Oryctolagus cuniculus: one gene and its partner. The protein of the gene in region 1 interacts with the protein of each later gene in a biochemical or structural test. Links are inferred from orthologs where the notes say so. Each region holds a gene or a part of one and is shown on either strand. Other genes may lie near its edges. The genes, in order: PTPN3 and SCN5A.

Region 1 (10,857 bases):
ATTAGAGTTAAAGAAAGAACTGCACAGAGGGGATACATTTTTTAAAAAAGGGCCTGCTTTGAACTTGGATTAGGAAGGTACTATTCTAGCTTGTGTAACCAATTTCTGCATAGCTCAACAGCACTCCAGGCCTTGGCTTGTGTGGGCAGCCCGTTGTCTCGTCTGTGATTGTAACCCATGCTCTGAATAAGCCTTTGAAAATCAAAGAAATTGTACTTAGAAAAAAAAATGGACAACAGACTCGTTATTGTGAGAAAAAAAGAATCATTATTTGACTTATGATATAAAAATATAGTCTGGTGCTTGAGAGCCAGAGCCCTGCCATCAGCCTTGCTGTGAGTGTCTCTCATTTCTCTCACACCTTGGGGCCCCTGGACTGGCTGGAGCTGGTCTCCGGCAAGTTACAACTAAAAATGATGAACAGATATAACATACAGCCCCTTGAAAAGTAAGCAAAAACAGGCAGATACAGTAGCAAATTTCTTGGGTTTTCTTCCCTTTTCTGTTGTGTCACAATCATGGAACTGTGGTGGTAGCCGTGGAGGCAGTCAAAAAATTGTTTCTCTGGTCAGGAAATTGGAGAGAGAGGCTTCTGCAGTCTCAAAGCAAGGGGAGAACTCCTGTTTCCTTTTTCTGTTTTTCCCTTTGGTTCTTTGCCTAAAGATGGGTCCCCATCACAGAAGTCTGCTACAGCAGGAAGGCTACAACAGATAAACGTGTAAGTAAAACCCCTTCCTTCTGGGCAAAGCATCAGAGCATGTGAGCTGGACCACAGGAGAAAGAATTTCCCAATTCTGTGTGTGAACCTTCATGACTGTTAAGCCTAACCCTGAGCTGTGTATGCATAGGAAAGACCCAGTGCAGTACAGAAAACGCCTGGAAAATGGAACCATGATTTTAACCACCATCCAGGTCTCAGATCAGTCCATGAACAGCACGAGACAGACCCAAAACACCTTAGCAAAGATTTGAAAACCAAGCTTGTACTGGAACAACCAACTACAAAAGGAGACATAGAACTTGCAACCTGACTCTAACAAGGCCTGCTGAAACACAAAAATCAACATTGCCAGACATTTTAGGAAGAATCAGAGTCACATGATATAATATTTAAAATGTCCAGAACATGATCCAAAATTAATCAGCATATGGAATTATGGAAATCACGTCAAGATGCTAGCCCTTGAATGGTCTCAACATTGGAACTGTCAGACATTTAAGCAGTAATCACAACCATGACCCATAAGATAAAGGAGAACTCTCTTGAAATAAACAGTAAGATGAAAGTTCTCTGCAGACAACATACGATCTGCAATAAAAGATTCCCTGGTGGATTCAACTGCAGAATGGAGAAGACAGAACATGAACATTGACAGAACATGAACACGAACATGAAAAATGATTAAAATAAATTAATAGAAATTAATCTGAATAACAGAAAGAACAAAGGTTGAAAAACAATGAACAGAGCCCTAGACACTTGTGGGGCAAAGTTAAAAGTTTCAACATTAGTATTACTGGAGTCCTGGAAGAAAAGATTAATACAGGAAACACATTTGAAGAAATGATGGCCAAAATTGCCCACATGCAGTGAAAGAAATAAATATTTACAAACTTGAGAAACAGTACATTTCAAACAAAATCATGCCCAGGCACATCACAATAAAACTCCCAAACATCAAAGAAAAATGTTGAAAATCTTATAAGAGCCTAACAACACATTACTTCTAGAGGAACAGTAACTTGAATGAATTTTGATTTCTCACCATAAACCGTCCAGGCCAGATGAACAACATCTTTAGAGTATAAGAAGAAAAGCACTTTTAAGCCAAAATGCATGAAGGGAAAAAAGCTGATAGAACTGAAAGGAGAAATGGATAAATCCATAACCATACTTGGAGAGGTCAACATTTTCCTCTCAGTAATTGACAGAACAAGTACACAGAAAATTGATAAACATATAACAAAGCTAAGCCGGCGCCGTGGCTCAATAGGCTAATCCTCCACCTTGCGGCGCCGGCACACCGGGTTCTAGTCCTGGTTGGGGCGCCGGATTCTGTCCCGGTTGCCCCTCTTCCAGGCCAGCTCTCTGCTATGGCCAGGGAGTGCAGTGGAGGATGGCCCAAGTGCTTGGGCCCTGCACCCCATGGGAGACCAGGAAAAGCACCTGGATCCTGGCTCCTGCCATCGGATCAGCGCGGTGCGCCGGCTGCAGCGGCGGCCATTGGAGGGTGAACCAACGGCAAAGGAAGACCTTTCTCTCTGTCTCTCTCTCTCACTGTCCACTCTGCCTGTCAAAAATTAAAAAAAAAAAAACATATAACAAAGCTGAATAACTCTCAACAACTTAGTCTGATAGACATTTATAGAGTTTGCTACCCAACAACAGCAAAAAAAAAAAAAAAGGCATTCCTTTTGCATTTACATAGAAAATTCATCAAGACAGGTGATATTCTGGGCCTGTGATTAAGCTTTAGCAAATTGAAATGAATTGAAATCAAATTGTGAATAATATTCTACTATCCCCCAACCATATTAGTATTTGCATAGAAAAAATATGGGAGAACTTTTTATGTGGGTTGGGGTATAATAGGGGCTGTTCACTTTCTGCTATATACATCTGAGTTTTAATATTTTATACAGTCCAAGTAGTATTTTTGTAACCAGGAAATAATACTGAGAGTTTTCTGTTCTCGTTGTTTGAAGACAGGTACAGACTTTTGTTTCCCTCAGAGTAAGTTTTCCCATTTAATTCACCAGGCCACTAGAATCCACGTAACTCCAATACCATTAAAAACTCAGGGCCATCGGCCCCCTCCCTCCCTCCACGTCCCTTCTTTCCTGCTTCCTTCTGGTAGTGGGTGACCATGACCACATCAACAACCAAGATATCATGTTTATCCTGATAGACTTTGTGTCTTTTTTCCATTAATGGACTTCTCTATCACTACTAGGAGTGGGAAGATCTTAGCTATTTGAATTTCCCTCTCATTGGAATCGTATACAAACCAGGACTTTACTCTGACTGAGGGTAGGAACAACACTTCATATCAAAGTACTTTGTGTCAAAGATCCAGATCTAAATCATTGCTCTGTCTCTAACCAGCTGTGAGAACTTGGGCAGCCTATTTTATTTGATTGGCCTCAGTTTCTCCATCTGCAAAACAAGTTGACAGAGATTGAAAAACACACTTGCAAATAGTAATCCTTCTTTGCCTTCTTTATCTACTGAGGAAAACTGTCTGTTTCCTTTGGGCTCTTCTCCTTCCTCCCCAGAACCTCACCCGCTTCCCCTAGCTTGCCAAGGGTGGTTTCCCACCATGCTAACAATGATTCTATCCTGTTGGTTGTTTCCCCAGATCTGTTATGCACAGCAGGTAATATTTGACTTATATTGAAAAGGACAGACAGCAACTGGTTTGGAAAAGAAAGAAGAAAAGGAAAAAGGGAAAGATGGGGGAAGCTAAAGCAGAAAGAGATGGAGAAAATTTTTTTAAAAAACTATGCCAGCCCAGCTTTGGGAGATTTAGGGGTGCGAGTTTAGACTAGGGAAAAGGAGAGCAGGGTATGAGACAGCTAATGGATGAGTGGGTAGATAAAATCATGGTCAGAATGAATAGGGAGGGAAGGAGAGGAAACATTAAAGAGAGGATGAAAGAACAGGGGGCATTTGTTCTGTGCAACTGACAAACTCTCTTTCAGGACTTTTTTGAGAGACAGTAGAGGTTCAACTTACTGTGTGATTCAACATGCAATAGTGCCTAGAAAAGACCACTGAGCAACCCCAATTCTTTGTGGGCAACACAGGGATAGCTCTCTTCATTCTTAACCAGATGGAAAAGCGCCAATGAGATCAAAATTATACAAACTATAATTATACAACATTATACAAATTTATACGAAATTATAATCGTTCCATTATCAAGTTTTCTTTGACTTTCTACTCAGTTCTTCGTTCAAATCGTTTACCCAATGCCATAAGCACCAAACTGTTTGGGTAGCAGGGAAATTGCAGGTAGGGTTGTACAGTCTTCACTCAGGTCTTTGAGAAAGGGACAGGGGTCACCTTCCACACCCTCCCAGTCAGCCAGCAACACTGAACTAGTTTAGACCATGTGTACTGCTGCTCGCCTGCATCCCCCTTTAGAGCCACCTCTGTGTGTTTTTCTGCTTCTCTTACTACACCGTGAACATAGTGGGCCAGAAATACCACCTGCTCATCCCCACCCGCTCCATCCAGCAGAGAGCTGAATGCATGTTAGGTAAATTAACTTGGGATAGTATTATGAGACATTAGTAGATTCTCAATCTCTCTCTCTCTCTCTCTCTCTCTCGCTCTCGCTCTCCCTCCCTCTCTCTCTCTCTCTCTCTCACACACACACACACACACACACAAATGACTTCAATTTATATACAACCCTGGAGAGGAGCTGATAAAACCTAAAATTGACTAAGTCTCTGTCACCAGGAATAATTGAGGGCCTATAAGAAAATCTAACTCAAGTCATAGAAAAACTAAGCTACCTTTGTTTTGCACATCTGAATTTTGAGCCCCAAAGCTCAGGTGCACTACAAATGTTTGTTGATTAAATGAAATAATGAGTGTTGGGGATAGGGTGTTTCTCCAGCAAGCTCTTGGTGGAGTTGTCTTGGCTGCTTTCCAAGAAAGATGGTAATTATTACAAAGAGCATCTGCTTTCTGGTCCCGGCATGGCCAATTATTAGCCATGGCTCCTGCAGTAAGTTTCAAGTCTTCCTATCTGTAAAATGGGGTTAAGATACTTGCCCTGCCCTCCTCACAATGTTATCAAAAGGATGCAATGGGATAAAGTATGTGTAGGTCCTTCACATGGGACTAGCATGGGGATCACCCCTAGCTTGTGGTCCAGGAAGCAAGACAAAAGTAAGAATGAACTCACAGATCAGAGTTCTCCAATGCCCCTCTTTTTAACCACACCAGTTTTCTAGAACTGGAAAGGAACCGTGACTAAATTCTCCCTGGAACCACATCAGTGCTAAGTGGAGGCTGTCACGGCTCGCACTCGCCAGACCCACAGCAGGCACCACGAAGATATTCTCAAGGCAGAAGACAGAGATATTTGCATTGTGAAATAATCTGTCTGCTATGTGACAACAAATTAAGCCCTGGGTGACTATTCCCATAAAACACGTCCTGTGCTGAGCACTGCTATTATGGGGTGGATAGACCTGGTAAAGAATCAATTAAAACTCTGACACATTCGATGGAGCGCCAAGACCTGTTTCACAGGTTTCCCCAGAGGAAAATCATCATGTTACATTACGCTTTGGAAGGCGATCGAGGCAAGATTTCCGAGACAAGTGCCGAGATTTACAAGACAGATTTCAGCTTTTCCAAATCCTCTTTTGAAGTGCTATTCAAAGGATTACAGCATTCAAGTCACCATTAATCCAAGAGCATCATGGTGGAGCAAGAGGAGTCGCCGTCCTGTGAGCATGCCCCAGAACGCTGTAAGTTCCCTTACAAAACGCATTTTTAAAGAAATCGTAAAAATGTTGCAAGGTGGATGTGTATACCCGTTTTTGAAGTTAAGGAAGTAAGACAGGTGGGATGTTAAAACTGGAATTCCTTGCTATTTGTAAAATAGGGCTGATCTACAACAAGGGGCAACTTTTGTTTGGGAACATTTTTAAATGCAGTTGTAGAATTTCGAGAAGAGCCTCATAAAAGGTGAACAAGAGGGTTGATCGTGGAAGAGAAAGAAAGTCTGTGGTTACCACTGCTTAAACTAAGTTTCTATGACAGCAAGTGGGAATGGTAATGAAAAGAGCAATGTGGGGATTTTTTTTTTTTTTTTTTTTTTTGGCTAATTCAGACATCTGTGTGACCATCTTTTAATCTCATTGCCTGAAATAACTTCAGTCAGGGGTTTTCAGGTTCATGCAGCCTCTCTTCAGAAGCAATGCCTACATGTGAGCTTCAGCAGAAAGAGGGAACCGGGCAGGACCGAGACAAGTCAGCATCAGCAGTGAGCGCAGTTGAGGGCCAAGCCAGGCTGAGCTGAGCGAGGTGGTCAGCAGGGTGGGAAGTGGGTCAGGGGGTTGGGCCAACCCCTGACCCTGCAGACTCATTCAGAAGCAATGAGAGAAAAGACAACAGGAGGGTGGCATGTAAGTGTTACACTCTCAAGACATCTCCCCAGGAGAGAGAGAGAGACAAAGACAGAGAGAGAAAGAGAAAGGGAAATCCATGGCACAAGGACAAGGCCAGGCCTGCCCGCTCACGTGCTCAGCTCTGCTACGGAGCAGGACGTGCTCAGAGAAATGCTCTCATGGTGCAGGAATCTGTTCAGTTAGAAAAGTAGAAATGCCTGGTGCTCCTGCTCCCAAAATCTGACCGCGACATCTTTATTTTTTTCAGGATAAGCAGTTGAGAAGAGTTAGGGGGAATGGAGACCCCATTTTTAGCCAAGCATACTATTCACTATAATTTTTCAAAAAGATTGTTGGGCTCTTTTCTTGTTGGAGTTGCTGTTTAAATCCTTCAGGTTTCCTCTATTGGTTGAGGAAAAAAAAATGTTGCTGCAGAATAATGCATACGTGTATCTGTTAATGCCTTCTTCATCTTGTACAACAGGGGCCTCTGAGAGCTACAGATGGGGGCTCAGAATATGCAGTAACCTTGCAGTCTCAAAGCCTTGCCAAGGTCCTTGGGGCTATTGAGAGACAAGATGTCAGGCCAGGTCCCCACCCTGCTCTGCACTCTGCCCTCCCCCCAGCTCTCTGCAGATGCACATTCCAACATTTCCCCAGGAGCTCATAGTGGGCAGGTGGAGGGGGGATGTTTCCACTCTTTGAAGCAAACAAAAAAAAAAAAAAAATTGAGTATCCCTGGATGAATGTTTGGCACAGCAGTTAAGATGCTACTTGGGGTACCCACACCCCACATCAGAGTGCCTGCTTTCAGTCTCTGCTCGGCTTCTGATTCCAGCTTCCTGTTAATGCACACCCTAAGAGGCTGCTGCTATTACTTGGGTCTCTGCATGCATGTGGGAGACCTGGATTGAGTCCCTGGCTCTTGGCTTCAGCCAGGCCCAAGTGGGCTGTTGTAGGCATTTGGAGAGTGAACCAGTGAATAGACGGTCTCCCTCTGTCAATCTGTCTTTCAAATAAAATGAAAAATAAATAATTTTTAAATCAAATATCATTAAAATAGTCAACTTTCTCATTTGAAAGAAAGGAGAATTTAATTTCTCAGAGAATTATAATGAGTTAGTCAAAGGCAAACCAGCAATATAATCCCAGTGAATGGATAACTAGTTTACTATACTGGTCTTCCTTTTCTCTTTTCTCAAAGGAGTTGATAGAGTCTTCTCTATCTCACCCACTCTCCACTTTGACCCAGTTCCTTACTCATAGTCCAAAACCTTATCACAGCATATCTTCCAATGGGTAAAGCCACATGTAACCCCTCTGTGGTTAATACAATCCCCCCAACACTGAACACCTGCTTTGTGCAGCCCCGTGCCAAGTCCTAGAGACCTGCAGATGAACAGGACACAAACCCTGCATTCAAATATATTATAATCTGTTAGGATCAAAAAGATCTGAGAACTGTGCTATGAAAGACATTTTATTGACTGCACTCTATTTTTGAAAAACAACAGAAAGGGAAGGAAAACAGTGCACCGATTCCCTAAAATGTCAAACACAATCAATCCTCTTATGGTTCTGTAAGTCCATATGGATGTGTGTATATGTGTGTGTGTATGTGTGTATAACATATATGAGTCATATATATAATACATACTATGACTCATCTATTATATCATTGTATATAATATTATATTGATTACTATATATAATAATATATGTAACATGCGTATAGCCAAAAGAATTGAAAATTGGTACTCAAACAAATATGTGGACACACATGTATTAAAAGTATCCAAAAGGTAGAAACAACCCAAACATCCACCAATGGATGAACAGATCAACAAATTGTGATACCTCCATACAATGGAATATTACTCGGCCATAAAAAGGAAGGAAGGAAGTTCTGATCCATGCTACAATGTGGATGGGTCTTGAAAGTATTCTACTAAGTGAAAGAAGCCAGACACGAGAGGCGTCACACTGCATGACTGCATTTACACGGAATATCCAGAACAGGCAAATCCACACATACAGGAAGAAGATCGGTGGTTGCCAGAGATTATAAAAGAGGACAATCAGGGAAGTGACTGCTAGTGCAACAAGGTTCCTTTTTTGGGGAAGCATGAAAATTTTCCCAAACTGGATAATAGTGATCAATGCACAACATTGTAAATACATGAAACATCAGTGAATTATTCTGTTTAAAAGTTACTTTTATGTTATGTGAATTTCACCTCAATTTTTTTAAAAATTTATTTACTTATTTGAAAGGCAGAGTTGCAGAGAGGCAGAGGCAGCGAGAAAGAGGTCTTCCATCCACTGGTTTACTCCCTGGATGGCCACAACAGCCGGAGTTGGGCCGATCCGAAGCCAGGAGCCAGAAGCCAGAAGCCAGGAGCTTCTTCTGGGTCTCCCATGCAGGTGCAGGGCCCTAAGGACTTGGGTCATCTTCTACTGCTTTCCCAGGTCTTAGCAGAGAGCTGGATTGGAAGTGAAGTAGCTGGGACTCACCCATATGAGATACCAGCACTGCAGGCAGCGGCTTTACCCACTACGCCACAGTGCCAGCCCTCGCCTCAGTTTTAAAAAGAGAAGAGAAAGGAATGTAAAGGGCTCTAAAGAGGCTCTGTGGAAGCCAGGGAGCAAGCTGGTAAGATTCGTAGAGGATCAGTTCCTGCAGGCCTGCAAGGTCCCTGGACTCGATCTTGGGAGAAGTGGCATCCCCAGTAGCTTTCAGCAAGAGGATGCCTTGATCAGATCTCTGGTTTAGACTGGACATTCTGAGTGGAGAACTGACCACAGTAAGGCGGTTCTGGTCTCGCTGAAACACACTGGCTGGCCCAATGTGAAATCACAAGGCTCATACCCATATGTAAAATACCTGTCCGAGCAAGGTCTAAGGTTAAGTGGCTGGAATCCTGTCCCGCTAAAATTGAAATCAGAAATTTTAACTTCAATGAAAAACAGTAGCCACAGTTCTTTTGAGATCGATTTTTTTTATACCACATAAGCCCATCTTTTTGCATTCTACCAGCTTTGATATTGATAGGGTTTTAAAAGCAAAATTAAAGTGCTTCCTGTTCCTCTACAGATTACTCAAAAAGATTTGCCCTTGAACAAATACTTCAGCAAGGAGGCAAGCCTGTTCTGGATGAAAGCAAACTGCAATCCAAAAATAGGTTTGAGAAATAAGCCAAGATCCAAAATTAATACATTTGTCTCAGTCTCAATTTTGGCACTATTAGCATGTCAAGAACTTCTGCACACTGTAATATTTTTGAAGTAGCCAGTTGGATTACTTTTTGTACAGAGAGTAAAAGTTTTAATTTTTATGATCTGCTCCATTTGCATCTAAGCACTAAATTCAATGTAACCTGTCAGAATCATATAGAACTAATCAAGCCAAACTTTGAAGGGCATTCCAAAGATCTCGAACCTATAGTGGTGGCTCTGCTGGTCAGCTTCCCCAGGTCTTTTTTTTTTTTTTTTTTCTGACAGGCAGAGTGGACAGTGAGAGAGAGAGACAGAGAGAAAGGTCTTCCTTTGCCGTTGGTTCACCCTCCAGTGGCCGCCATGGCTGGCGCGCTGCGGCCGGCGCACCGCGCTGATCCGATGGCAGGAGACAGGTACTTCTCCTGGTCTCCCATGGGGTGCAGGGCCCAAGGACTTGGGCCATCCTCCACTGCACTCCCTGGCCACAGCAGAGAGCTGGCCTGGAAGAGGGGAAACCGGGACAGAATCCGGCGCCCCGAACCCGGTGTGCCGGCGCCGCAAGGCGGAGGAATAGCCTAGTGAGCCATGGCACCAGCCTTCCCCAGGTCTTTCTAAACTAGTGCCCAAGAGGCCTGAGGGAAATCCAAAGGCTGAGATGTTTCCTGGACTTTGAGTGCTAAAGTCAAAACACCACATGGGGGCTGGCATTGGGGCACCGCAGGTTAAACAGCCACTGGCATCCCATTTGGGAGTTCAAGTCCCAGCTGCTCTACTTTCCATCCAGCTTCCTGGTAATGTACCTGAGAAGCAGTGGAGGCTGACCCCGGTGCTTAGGCTTGTGCCACCCATGTGGGAGACCAGGGTGGAGTTCCAGGCTCCTGGGTCAGCCAGGCCCAGCTCCACCCATTGCAGTCATTTGGGGAGTAAATCAGCAGAAAACACTCTCTGCTCTTCTTGCTCTCTCTCTCCTCTCTCTCTTTCTTTGACACACTGCCTTTCAAATAAATAAATGTAAAAAAATTGCAGGGCCCAGTTTCGACCTGCACCAAAATCTCTTCCAAAATTCTCTCTTTGATATTGGATCCATTTCATTTAGAAAGCAACAGCAGGCGCTGCAGCTCACTAGGCTAATCCTCCGCCTTGCGGCGCCAGCACACCGGGTTCTAGTCCCGGTCGGGGCGCCGGATTCTGTCCCGGTTGCCCCTCTTCCAGGCCAGCTCTCTGCTGTAGCCCGGGAGTGCAGTGGAGGATGGCCCAAGTTCTTGGGCTCTGCACCCCATGGGAGACCAGGATAAGTACCTGGCTCCTGCCATCGGATCGGCGCAATGAGCCGGCTGCAGCGCACCAGACATGGCAGCCATTGGAGGGTGAACCAACGGCAAAGGAAGACCTTTCTCTCTGTCTCTCTCTCTCACTGTCCACTCTGCCTGTCAAAAAATAAAAAATAAAATAGAAAAAAAGAAAGCAACAACAGCAGTTATGGAGGGAGAGGAAAACCTGGGCATCATC
Region 2 (10,294 bases), on another chromosome or scaffold:
CCCGCGTGCACCAGGGCCGGGCACCCTCTCCAAGCCTGGCCGGCTCGGGCCGAGACTTAGAGTCCAGGGGGCGGGCAGGGGCCTGGGGCGATGGCGGGGGCGGGGGCACGTAACACTTGACTGGCCGACACCGCCCCTCAGCACTGCCCCGAGCCTCGCCAGCGTCCAGGCCTCGGGCAGCTCGGCGAGGTAGGTCAGGCGGTGAGCCCGAGGTGGCCGCGAGGTGGACGCCCGAGGCAGGCGGGACCTGTCACCCCGGGGACGCGGTCTCCACCCTGAAGGATTTGCATGTGCTACGTGGGACTGGCAGCAGCGCAACAGGTCCTGGGGAGATTTCCCTGAAAACGCCTCTCACGGACCTGGGGGGGTGAGCTGGCCCCTCCCCCGCCCGCCCCCGGAAGGCCCGCACAGGCAGCAGCCGACCTCAGGGCTGTGCCAGGCCGTGTCAGGGAGCCAGGGCCGCTGCTCTGTCCGTCAGAGGCCCGGGCTCAGCCCTGCCCCATCCCACACTGGGCCTGGGAGAGGGGCCGGGGGCGGGGCCGCAGGACTCCCCGCCCCCACGTGGTCATTAGAGGGAACTGAGGCCCGTCTTTGGAGGGTGGATGGACCGCCGTGGCCCACACGGCTCGGCCTGCCGGGGAGGCTGCGGGCTCCCTCGTGCCTGTAATACTCCTGTAAGCCAGGAAGGGCGCCCCGGCCTCCAGGCGTCCACTCCTGCAGGGCCGACCCCGCTACTCTGAGAGCAGAGTTCTGGCTGCCCCCAAGACACCTCAGCCTAGGGCTGAGAGGCCGCCGCCGCCCACAGGAGAAAACCAAGAACCTTAGTTCTTTGCTCAAGTAAAAAAATATCAAATATAATAAATTTATGAAAGCCCATTCGCAACATAGTCTGTTTTCCATTCTTAGCAGCTGGCATGGGGTTTGCTTCTTGGAGCCCCTGGGTGCCCTCCCTGGGCAGGCCAGGCCACTGGAACAGGTGGGGCTCCGGGGGACAGGCTGGGTCCCCATCGCCCGCCGGTCCAGCTGCCCACCTGCAGCCACAGGGCCAGAACCACGGCCCCAGCAGGTGGCCCCCAGCGCGTGCTGGCTTGTCACGCCGCCATGGCCGCCTGTCGGCGCGTCCTGGCCAGCCAGGGGGCCAGGCTCACACGATGGACTCGCGGTCCCTGTCCGGAGACGGGGGGAAGTCGGCGAGCTCCTCGCTGCGGCTGCAGTCGGACGCCCGCACCGGGAGGTTATCGCTGGTGGCCCTGGTGACGCTGTCGTAGGACGGCGGGAAGGACGTGGAGGAGACGGAGGAGCTGCAGGGCGGGCCGGGGCTCCGGGCGAAGTGCTCGCTCATCGTGCGGGCCAGCAGGCCCTCGCGCTCGGGCGCGTCCTCCTCCGAGAGGCCGCCGCTGCCCGCCCGCTGCCGGAACAGGAAGGAGGCGTGCTTCAGGGAGCGCTGCAGCAGGTACCTGCGGAAGGCCCGCTGGATGACCGTGGCCGACACCTCCTCGTGCTTGCGGCGCAGCGTGGTGGTGATGGGCTCGTAGGAGATCTTGGACGGGTTGGCCGCCATGAACTTCTCCTCCATCTGGATCTTGAGGGCGTCCATCTCGCCCGACTCCCCCAGCACCCGCTTGGTGAAGGCGAACAGGATGTCCATGCAGTGGATGCGGTCCCCGCTCACCATGGGCAGGTCCATGCTGATGAGGCTCAGCTGGTTGGGCTTGGCGATGCGCAGCGGCTCCGACAGGGCGTCCGCGAAGGCCGGCAGGGCCGAGTACTCGATGAACTGCGTGGCCTCGGGGTCGAACTTCTCCCAGATCTCGTAGAACATGTCGAAGTCGTCCTCGCTCAGCGGCTCCGTGCTCTCCTCCGTGGCCACGCTGAAGTTCTCCAGGATGATGGCGATGTACATGTTGACCACGATGAGGAAGGAGATGATGATGTAGGTGGTGAAGAAGAGGATGCCCACGGCGGGGCTGCCGCAGTTGCCCCGGGAGCCGCTGCCGGTGGGCAGGCTGGGGTCGCAGTAGGGCGGCCCCGTGTTGAGGATGGGGCTGAGCAGGCCGTCCCAGCCGGCCGACGTGGTGATCTGGAAGAGGCACAGCATGCTGTTGGCGAAGGTCTGGAAGTTGAACATGTCGTCGATGCCGGCCTCCCACTTGACGTAGGCGAAGTTGGCCATGCCGAAGATGGCGTAGATGAACATGACCAGGAAGAGCAGCAGCCCGATGTTGAAGAGGGCGGGCAGCGACATCATGAGGGCGAACAGCAGCGTGCGAATGCCCTTGGCCCCGCGGATGAGCCGGAGGACGCGGCCGATTCGGGCCAGGCGGATGACGCGGAAGAGCGTCGGGGAGAAGAAGTACTTCTGGATGATGTCCGAGAGCACGGTGCCTGCGGGGACAGCACAGCCTGCGGCCGCCGGCCTCCCACGGCCCCGCCACCCCCGGGGGCCCGGGACCCGCGTCGCGGGCTCTGTCTGTGAGGACCCTCCCCCGCGCTGTGGAAGCCACCCCTGGCTCCTTCCCAGCACACAGCCGCATCCACGCCACAGGGGACTCGCCTGGCACCTGGGGAAGCCCAGCTCGGACCACAGCTCCTGCCTCGGAGCTGCCACTCTGCCAGGGCACCGGGACCGGCAGCCTCGAGGTGACCCCAGCCCGTCGCAGTGTTCTGCCGAGCCCAGATCTGTGTACACGGCGAGCGGAAGGAGGCCGGGCCCGAGAATCAGGGTCCCCCACTCCCGAGTCCCCAGCAACCCGGGGCAGGGGCTTGAAGGGGCACGGAGGTACCCGGGGGAGGGGCAGGCGTTTGGCCTAGGTGCTGGGCTCAACCCGGGCCTCTATTCTGACTCCAGCTTCCTGCTGGTGTAGAAACCTGGGAAGCAGTGGTGATGGCTCGCGAGGCTGGGGAGACCTGACCGAGTTTCTGACCTCCAGCTCCTGGGCCGTTGTGAGTATTTGCAAAGCAAACCAGTGGCGGGGACCCCTCGCTCTCTAAAGCTTGCGGGAGGAAGAGTGAAATGAGCTTGCCTGCCATGGCCCAGGGCCCCGCGGAGCCCCCACGGGTTGGCGGTGTCCAGTGCTTACTGCCAGTCAGGGATGCCCTGGTCTCCAAATGACGAAGCTCAGGGGACGTCCACCCAGTGGACAGCTGGGGCCCGACCCAGACACCCCGGCTCCCAGCCGGCCTCGCCAGGGTGGCCCAAGTGCCCGCGTCCCCGGGCATCCACGCCTGTCCCTCCAGGCCACCGCTCCTGCTGCCCGCACCTGCACTCCCTAAAGCTTCTCTCCAGTTCCCCTCCCCACCGCCCGGGGCCTCCCCCCATCTGCCACCTCAGCCCCATCCCTGTGCCCAAGGCACCCGTGGGGCTGAAGTCAAAGCCTGGGCCCTGGGCACAAGGCACCAGAGGAGAACTACAAACTTCTTCACCAAAATGGAAGACTTTGTGCTTTGAGAGATACAACCAGGACATCGAAGCCAAACTAAACCAAACCAACGCCAAGACCAGGAGAAAATACATGCAAGCCGTATTGATAAGGGACTAGCATCCGGCACACCATCAGTCCCCGGGGCAGTGCAGGCCCCCCCCCCCCCCCCCCCCCGCCTCCGGGGCAGGTGTTTCCAGCTCCTTAGGAGAGCTCTGATAAGGACACCAGCAGGTGTTGGCAGCCCCACCCGGAACACCGTGGAGCCGCTCGGACAAGCTAGGACAAGTCTGGCAGGACTCAAAACTTTGGATGCATGGTTGCCAGGGAAAGGCGGAGTGACTACTAAGTGGGCGGAGTCTGGGAGGTGCAGACCACACAGGTGACAGCCGCCCGGCTCTGCACACACTGAAGACCAGAGTGCAGCGCTGACCTTCCTGTGGAAGTCACGCTCTCTCAGTGAGCTGTTCCGTAAGGCAGCGCTGAGGCTGAGACACGTGGGTAAGGGTCCTCTCTCCACTGTGCCTCCTGCGACACTGACATCACCAGGGGCCCTGAAGGAGCCTGCCACATGCCCTGGTGGTGAGATTCTAGAATGTTCCAAGTACCGCAGTGTAGCCCAGTGGCTTGCTGCCACTCACTCCCCGGGACTCAGCTCAGCCTGCCCCTGCTCAACCAGGAGCGCGGGTGTTCCTGCGGGAGGGCAGGAGGCCGCCACAGCACTCACGCCCTTTCCTACCCCACTTCAGCCTCCAGCCTCCCGAGCAGCCAGAGCTGAGCCCCAGGGGCCCCGGGATGCGGCCAGGACGGGGACCTGAGCCGCGTGCTCTCTGGAGGTCAGCACACACATGTGGCCCCCAGTGTGTGTGGGGGGGAGGGAGGGAGAAAGAAGGAGAGGGAAAGGGAGAGGGGGAGAGGGAGGGGGGAAGAGAGAAGGGAAGTGAGAGGGAGGGAAAAAGGGAGAGGGGGAGAGAGAAGGAGGGAGAAGGAGATGGGGAGAGGGAGGGAGAGGGAGATGGGGAGAGGGAGGGAGAGGGAGGGAGAGGGGAAGTGAGAGGGAGGGAAAAAGGGAGAGGGGGAGAGAGAGGGAGAAGAGAGGGTGGGAGAAGGGTAGAGGGAGGGAGAGGGGGAGAGGGAGGGAGAGGGGAAGTGAGAGGGAGAGGGGAAGTGAGAGGGAGGGAAAAAGGGAGAGGGGGAGAGAGAGGGAGAAGAGAGTGTGGGAGAAGGGGAGAGGGAGGGAGAGGGGGAGAGGGAGGGAGAGGGAGGGAGAGGGGAAGTGAGAGGGAGAGGGGAAGTGAGAGGGAGGGAAAAAGGGAGAGGGGGAGAGGGAGGGAGGGAGAAGGAGGGAGAGAGAGGGAGGGAGACGGAGGGGAGAGGGAGAGAGGGAGGGAGAAGGAGGGAGGGAGATAGGTGGAGAGGGAGAGGGGGAGAGGGAGGGAGGAGGGGTGCGGAGGAGGAGGAACAAGCGCTTGGCACTGCAGACACCCAGCTTGGGGTGAGGCCTGCCCCGCGGCAGCCCACGCGCCGGCCTGCGCACCCACCCACGATGGACAGGATGACGACCACGAAGTCGAAGATGTTCCAGCTGTTGGTGAAGTAGTAGTGGCGGAGCGCGGCCATCTTGATGATGCACTCGCCCGTGAAGATGGCCACGAAGAGCAGGTTGATCTTGGTCAGGACGCTGACCTTCTCGGGGCTCTGGTCGTCCGTCTCCACCATCATGGTGACCATGTTCAAGCAGATGAGAAACATGATGGTGACGTCGAAGGCCTGCTTGGTCACGATGTCAAACATGAAGCCCTGGTACTTGTTCTGCAGGGACAGGGACACCGTCTGGGGCGGGCTCACAGGGCGCTCGGACGGGTGGCCCCAGGGAGGCCCCGCCCCCGCCGCCCTCTGGGCCTCCTCCCAGGGTCTCCGGGATGGGCTGCCCTGCCCTGCTGTGCTGTGCTTTGCTTCCGGCTGCCAGGTCTGAAGGCTTCCGGTCAAATCTGGACTTTTCTCCCCCGGCTGCCCCCAAAGTAATGTGCTTTCTCTACCCTATTTACAGAATCGATGTCATTTATTCCACTAACTACACTGTGCGCGTCGTCTTCAGCTGTCATCCAGCCCAAATCGTTTTGGGGAGAGAGAAGAAACAGACGACACACGTGCACACGCACGCACACACACGCGTGTTTTTCAAGAACGGGTGGATTGGGCTGGGGGGGGGCGTTCAGCCCAGCAGGGGCCCGGCAGCTCCCCCCTGACCACATGGACGGTGCCAGACCAGGGGCCGCCCTGCTGTTGCCTCCCCTGGCGACCCAGGAAGGGCAGGAGGGGGCTGGCTCCGAGGCCGCCTGCCGTCCCGCCTGCAGGGCTGAACCCTCCGTGCCACGCCTCCAGGCGCACCCTTGATGGGGCTGCAGGGCTGTGAGGCGCCTCCAGGGCTTCCCTCCGCCCCACCTGGCGCCCGCCTCACCAGGGGCCGCGGGATGGGCTTCTGGGGCTTCTTGGAGCCCAGCTTCTTCATGGCGTTGTAGTACTTCTTCTGCTCCTCCGTCATGAAGATGTCCTGGCCCCCTAGGTGCAGAGGGACAGGCACAGCCTCATCCTGGGGGTCCGGGGTCCCGGAGCCACCCGCCTCCACGCTCCCTCTCCGGGTCGAGCAGGCGGGTCCCTGTGCTCAGCCAGAAGTCCTCCCCCACACCTGCGGGTCTCTGCCCCTCCCCCACACCTGCGGGTCTCCGCCCCGCCCCCACACCTGCGGGTCTCCGCCCCGCCCCCACACCTTCCTTAGCAGGGTCTCCGCCCCGCCCCCACACCTGCCTTGGCAGGGTCTCCGCCCCTCCCCACACCTGCCTTGGCAGGGTCTCCATCCCCTCCCCCACACCTGCCTTGGCAGGGTCTCCGCCCCGCCCCCACACCTGCCTTGGCAGGGTCTCCGCCCCTCCCCCACACCTGCCTTGGCAGGGTCTCTGCCCCTCCCCACACCTGCCTTGGCAGGGTCTCCGCCCCGCCCCCACACCTGCCTTGGCAGGGTCTCCGCCCCGCCCGCCCTGAGGTCTCCCTGGGTTTGTGATGTGCACATCAGAGCCCGCCTGTTCGCCCTCCCCTTGCCCATCTCGGCCAGTGCTGGGTCCTCTCCGCCCACTAACTAGGTCTGCTTGCATCCAGGCACAGCCCCTCTGATGGACAGGGTGGGACCTTGGCCTCTGCACGGGCCCCACCCACGACCCCCTCCCCACACGAGGGAGCGCCCGGCCTCCCCCGGCTTCGCTCTGATAGACGAGGAGGGGGCGCCCTCCCCTCCCCCAGGAAGAAGCCTGCGCGCGCCGCAGGGAGGGGAGCCGAGGCCCAGAGCCGAGGGGCGGCCCGGCCACGCCCAGCCCGGGCGGGGGGGAGGGCCCGTGCTCCACGTATCTTCTTCTTCTGCTGGTTGAAGTTGTCGATGATGACGCCGATGAAGAGGTTCAGGGTGAAGAAAGACCCGAAGATGATGAAGATGACGAAGTAGATGTACATGTAGAGGTTGTTCTCCCACTGGGGCTGCTCTTCGTACTGTGGGGGGGAGCAGGGGCGGTCAGACGGCCGGGGCTGGCGACGGCTGGCGGGGCACCCACTCCCGAGGCCTGCCCAGAGGGAGTGTGTGTGCATATGTGTGTGTGTGTGCGTGTGTGTGCGTGTGTGTGTGCGTGCATGTGTGCGTGTGTGTGCATGTGTGCGTGTGTGTACGTGCATACATGTGTGTGTGTGTGTGTGTGTGTGTGCGTGCCAGGGCTGGACCGGGGCGGGGGGTGGGGGGCATGAGGCTGTCTGGCTTCAGTCCCTGCACCACTGGGGCTCCTCCCAGGTCTGTCAGGGTGATGGGTGGGGTGCAGGGGCGACAGGAAGGTTCTCTTGCTTCCACGCACCCTCCTGGTGGAGCCACACGGAGCTGAATTTGCAACCTTGGACGTGCGGGAGACCACGCGGCCTTGCCCCAGGGCCAGGCCTGGCCACTTCACACAGGCAGAGCCTCCGCGTGCCCCTGCTGGGCTGGGCTTCCGGTGCAGGCCTGCTCCCCGGGGACACTTACCCCCCGGGAGTCCACAGCCGCGTACATGATGTCCATCCAGCCCTTGAACGTCGCCTGGGAAGAGAAGACGGCGCTCAGACTCACGGCCTCTGTCTCCGAGCTGCACAGAGGGCCAGGAGAGAGCCCACCCCACCCCACGCCCCCCCTCGGCAGTGGGCAAAGTGCCCTGTGGAGGGCTGGGGTGGTGGGGAAGCAGCTGGCCGGCCCTCCAGGGCGGCCGTGCCGTGGGGAGCAAGCTCTCGACCGAGCGGAGTCTGACGGGGCCTCCGGGTCTGCATCCCAGAGCCCACTACAACTCAGGGCCCTCGCAGCGGGTGCCAGGGACAGACGGCGGGGACTGGGGTGCTCTGCTCCCCAAATCCCTGGTCGCTGTGTGGGCCCGTTTCTCCGGGGTGAAGCCTCCCCCAGCACAGTGCAGGGACGGGAAGGCAGACACGGCCGACACAGGTGCCCCAGGCACGGATGGTAACAGCACCGAGCGGCGAGCTCGCTCTGGGTAGCAGCGCCTCTGTCGTCACCATCAGGTCTCAGTTCCGGGAAGTGAACTGGTTAGTTTCACAAGATGTCTGCAGGCTGCACAGATGGCGGCTCTGTAGCGCACAACTCCCACGGAGTAGAAAGGAGGCTGACCTAAGGCAGGGCCCTGGTCGCTCTGTCTGCCCCGTCCAGGCTGTGCGGAGAGGCAGAAAGAGCCCAAGAGACGGGCTCAGGGGAGAGAGCGCCCGCCCGCCCGGGGAGTCAACACCCAGCCGCGGGCTGAGCCTCCCTCCCAGCACAGGCTCTCTGAGTTCTGAGTGGAGGCCGAGGCTCCCACAGGAGCGCCACGCAGCGCCGGGGCCAGCGGCCCCCGCCTGCACAGACAGCCCCGGGACCACTTGGAAACGGCAGAGGGCCGGCCCCGGGATGGGTGGATGTTCCCGAGGCCTTCCAGGGCCCGTGGCTCTGTCTGGAAAGGGGGCGGAGCTCAGCTGCATCGGGCGTTAGCTCCACTGCCCGCTAGGGCGTCTCTGTGGGGGAGGCGGGGGCGTGAGTGGATGCGCAGGGGGTCTCCAGGTGAGGCTCTGCTGAGCGCCCGTCGCCCTGGGGCCCAAGCGTGGGGTGGGGGACAAGCACCTCGCATCTGCGTGCGTGCTGGCTGGGCGCCTCTCTGGGGTGCAGGCTAACCGTGGGTCACGTCGTGGTTCATGCTGTAACACTGACACCACCAGGCCCGCCAAGCCTGGGGGGACCGTGTGTTTGAACTCTGCCAACACTACCGGTCTTGCACATCAAAGATGGAGGCCAGCACAGTCTTGTCGGCAGTCCCTGTGCCACTGCCGGACCACCTGCCAGGGTTCTGGTGCCCGGGCGTGCATCCTGGGCAATGCGGCGTCTGCTCTGGGACTGAGATCCTGGGCATCGTCCCAGGAGCCCGGGCAGACCCACGTGGCCCCACTGCCCCCTCCTGCCCACCCCCGGGGAAGGCGCATGGGAGGAAGGAGTCCCTCTCTCCAGCACTCACCACCTGCAGAAGGGCCAGGTAGCCGGCCCCCACGTTGTCGAAGTTGACCTTCACCTTGGTCCAGTACAGCTCGCCGGTCACGTTGAAGGACTCGCACTCGCTCTTGTTGTTCACCACGGTGTGGTTGAGAGGCACGTCCCCCTCCGTCTGGTTGATGCACCTGCCGAACTTGCCGGCGAACAGGTTCACGCCCATGATGCTGAAGATGAGCCAGAAGATGAGGCAGACGAGGAGGACGTTCATGATGGACGGGATGGCGCCCACCAGGGCATTGACCACCACCTCGAGGGGACAGAGAGGGGGCTCAGCTCCCGCGGGCGCCCACGGCGCAGGCCCCTTTTGACGGAATTCCCTGGCTGCGGGGGCTGTGGGGCGGGGGCTCGGATCCTGCGGTCGCAGGAGAAGCCAGGAGTGCACAGCTCCCGAGCACACCGGAACTGGGATCCCCTCGTGGCCTCGCCCTGCCTGCCCTGTGCCCTTCCAGATCCGAATAGCCGGCTCTGGAGCTGCCCGAGGGCGAAGGGCCCGTGGAGACGTCTCCAAACCTCGGGCCTCAGCCTGGCGGCTCTTCCCTTCTGAGCGAGGCTTCTGGTTGACCCTGGGGTTGCTGCTTCCGGGACGGATGGGTGTCCCCGCTCAGTGCCCAGCAGGTGCGCTGAGGGCTCTCCAGCGCTCCGGAGCCAGACAGGGGACGTGGGTGCCCCTGTGCCGCCTGCTCCCCAGGGAGGGGGCTCTCAGGCCCTGGGATGCCGGCCTCTGGCTTTTCCTCTAAGCCCACCACACCCAGGAGAGGCCTCCCCGGAAGATGTTCTGGGGTGCCCGCCTTGGAGGGCCAGGCATATGCTTGCCGCGGAGACTGGAGGGGAAGCGGTGGGCTGTGTGGTGTGGCTGGCTGGGGGTGCTGCTCCCCACGAGGCACACAGAACCCGGGAGTAGCGCAGGAAACCCAGCTGTCAAGGGCCCTGGGCTCCCCATGGGGCGAGGGGGCCACAGCCCAGGCCTTCCTGGCCCCTGGGGTCTCCCTGCTCCCAAAGAGGCCCTGACCCGAGAGGTGGTGTTCACTGGTGGACGGTTTGTGTCTCGGCGACACTGCAGTGTGGACAAGGCTCAAGCCGCCGGCCGGCCGGATGGGGAGCTGGGTGCTGGTGCCTGCTCTGTGGGCGCGACACCAGGTGGTGTCTCCCGAGGTGTGCGCCTCGCTGTGTACACAGCGCAGCAGACACAAACACACACACACGCTGTTTGTCTGTGATGAGTGTCCTGGCCTCACGGGCTCACTTTCCCTGGTGCTGTGTGCTGACTTGGGACACGCATGGG

The links.
Region 2: the proteins of PTPN3 (region 1) and SCN5A form a complex in vitro, tested with the Homo sapiens proteins (2 studies listed by IntAct, with this or other methods). The link is inferred for Oryctolagus cuniculus from reciprocal best matches to the Homo sapiens genes PTPN3 and SCN5A.

The regions. Positions count from the first base shown.
Region 1 is NC_091432.1:213,235,236-213,246,092, reverse strand, and holds the start of PTPN3 (tyrosine-protein phosphatase non-receptor type 3), read left to right. Parts: upstream 1-5,314; 5' UTR 5,315-5,441; coding exon 5,442-5,490; intron 5,491-10,857.
Region 2 is NC_091435.1:174,731,084-174,741,377, forward strand, and holds part of SCN5A (sodium channel protein type 5 subunit alpha), read right to left. Parts: intron 9,260-10,294; coding exon 8,978-9,259; intron 7,531-8,977; coding exon 7,477-7,530; intron 6,960-7,476; coding exon 6,818-6,959; intron 5,986-6,817; coding exon of another isoform or gene 5,982-5,985; coding exon 5,881-5,981; intron 5,232-5,880; coding exon 4,961-5,231; intron 2,386-4,960; coding exon 1,145-2,385; 3' UTR 1-1,144. UniProt on the Homo sapiens protein: Pore-forming subunit of Nav1.5, a voltage-gated sodium (Nav) channel that directly mediates the depolarizing phase of action potentials in excitable membranes.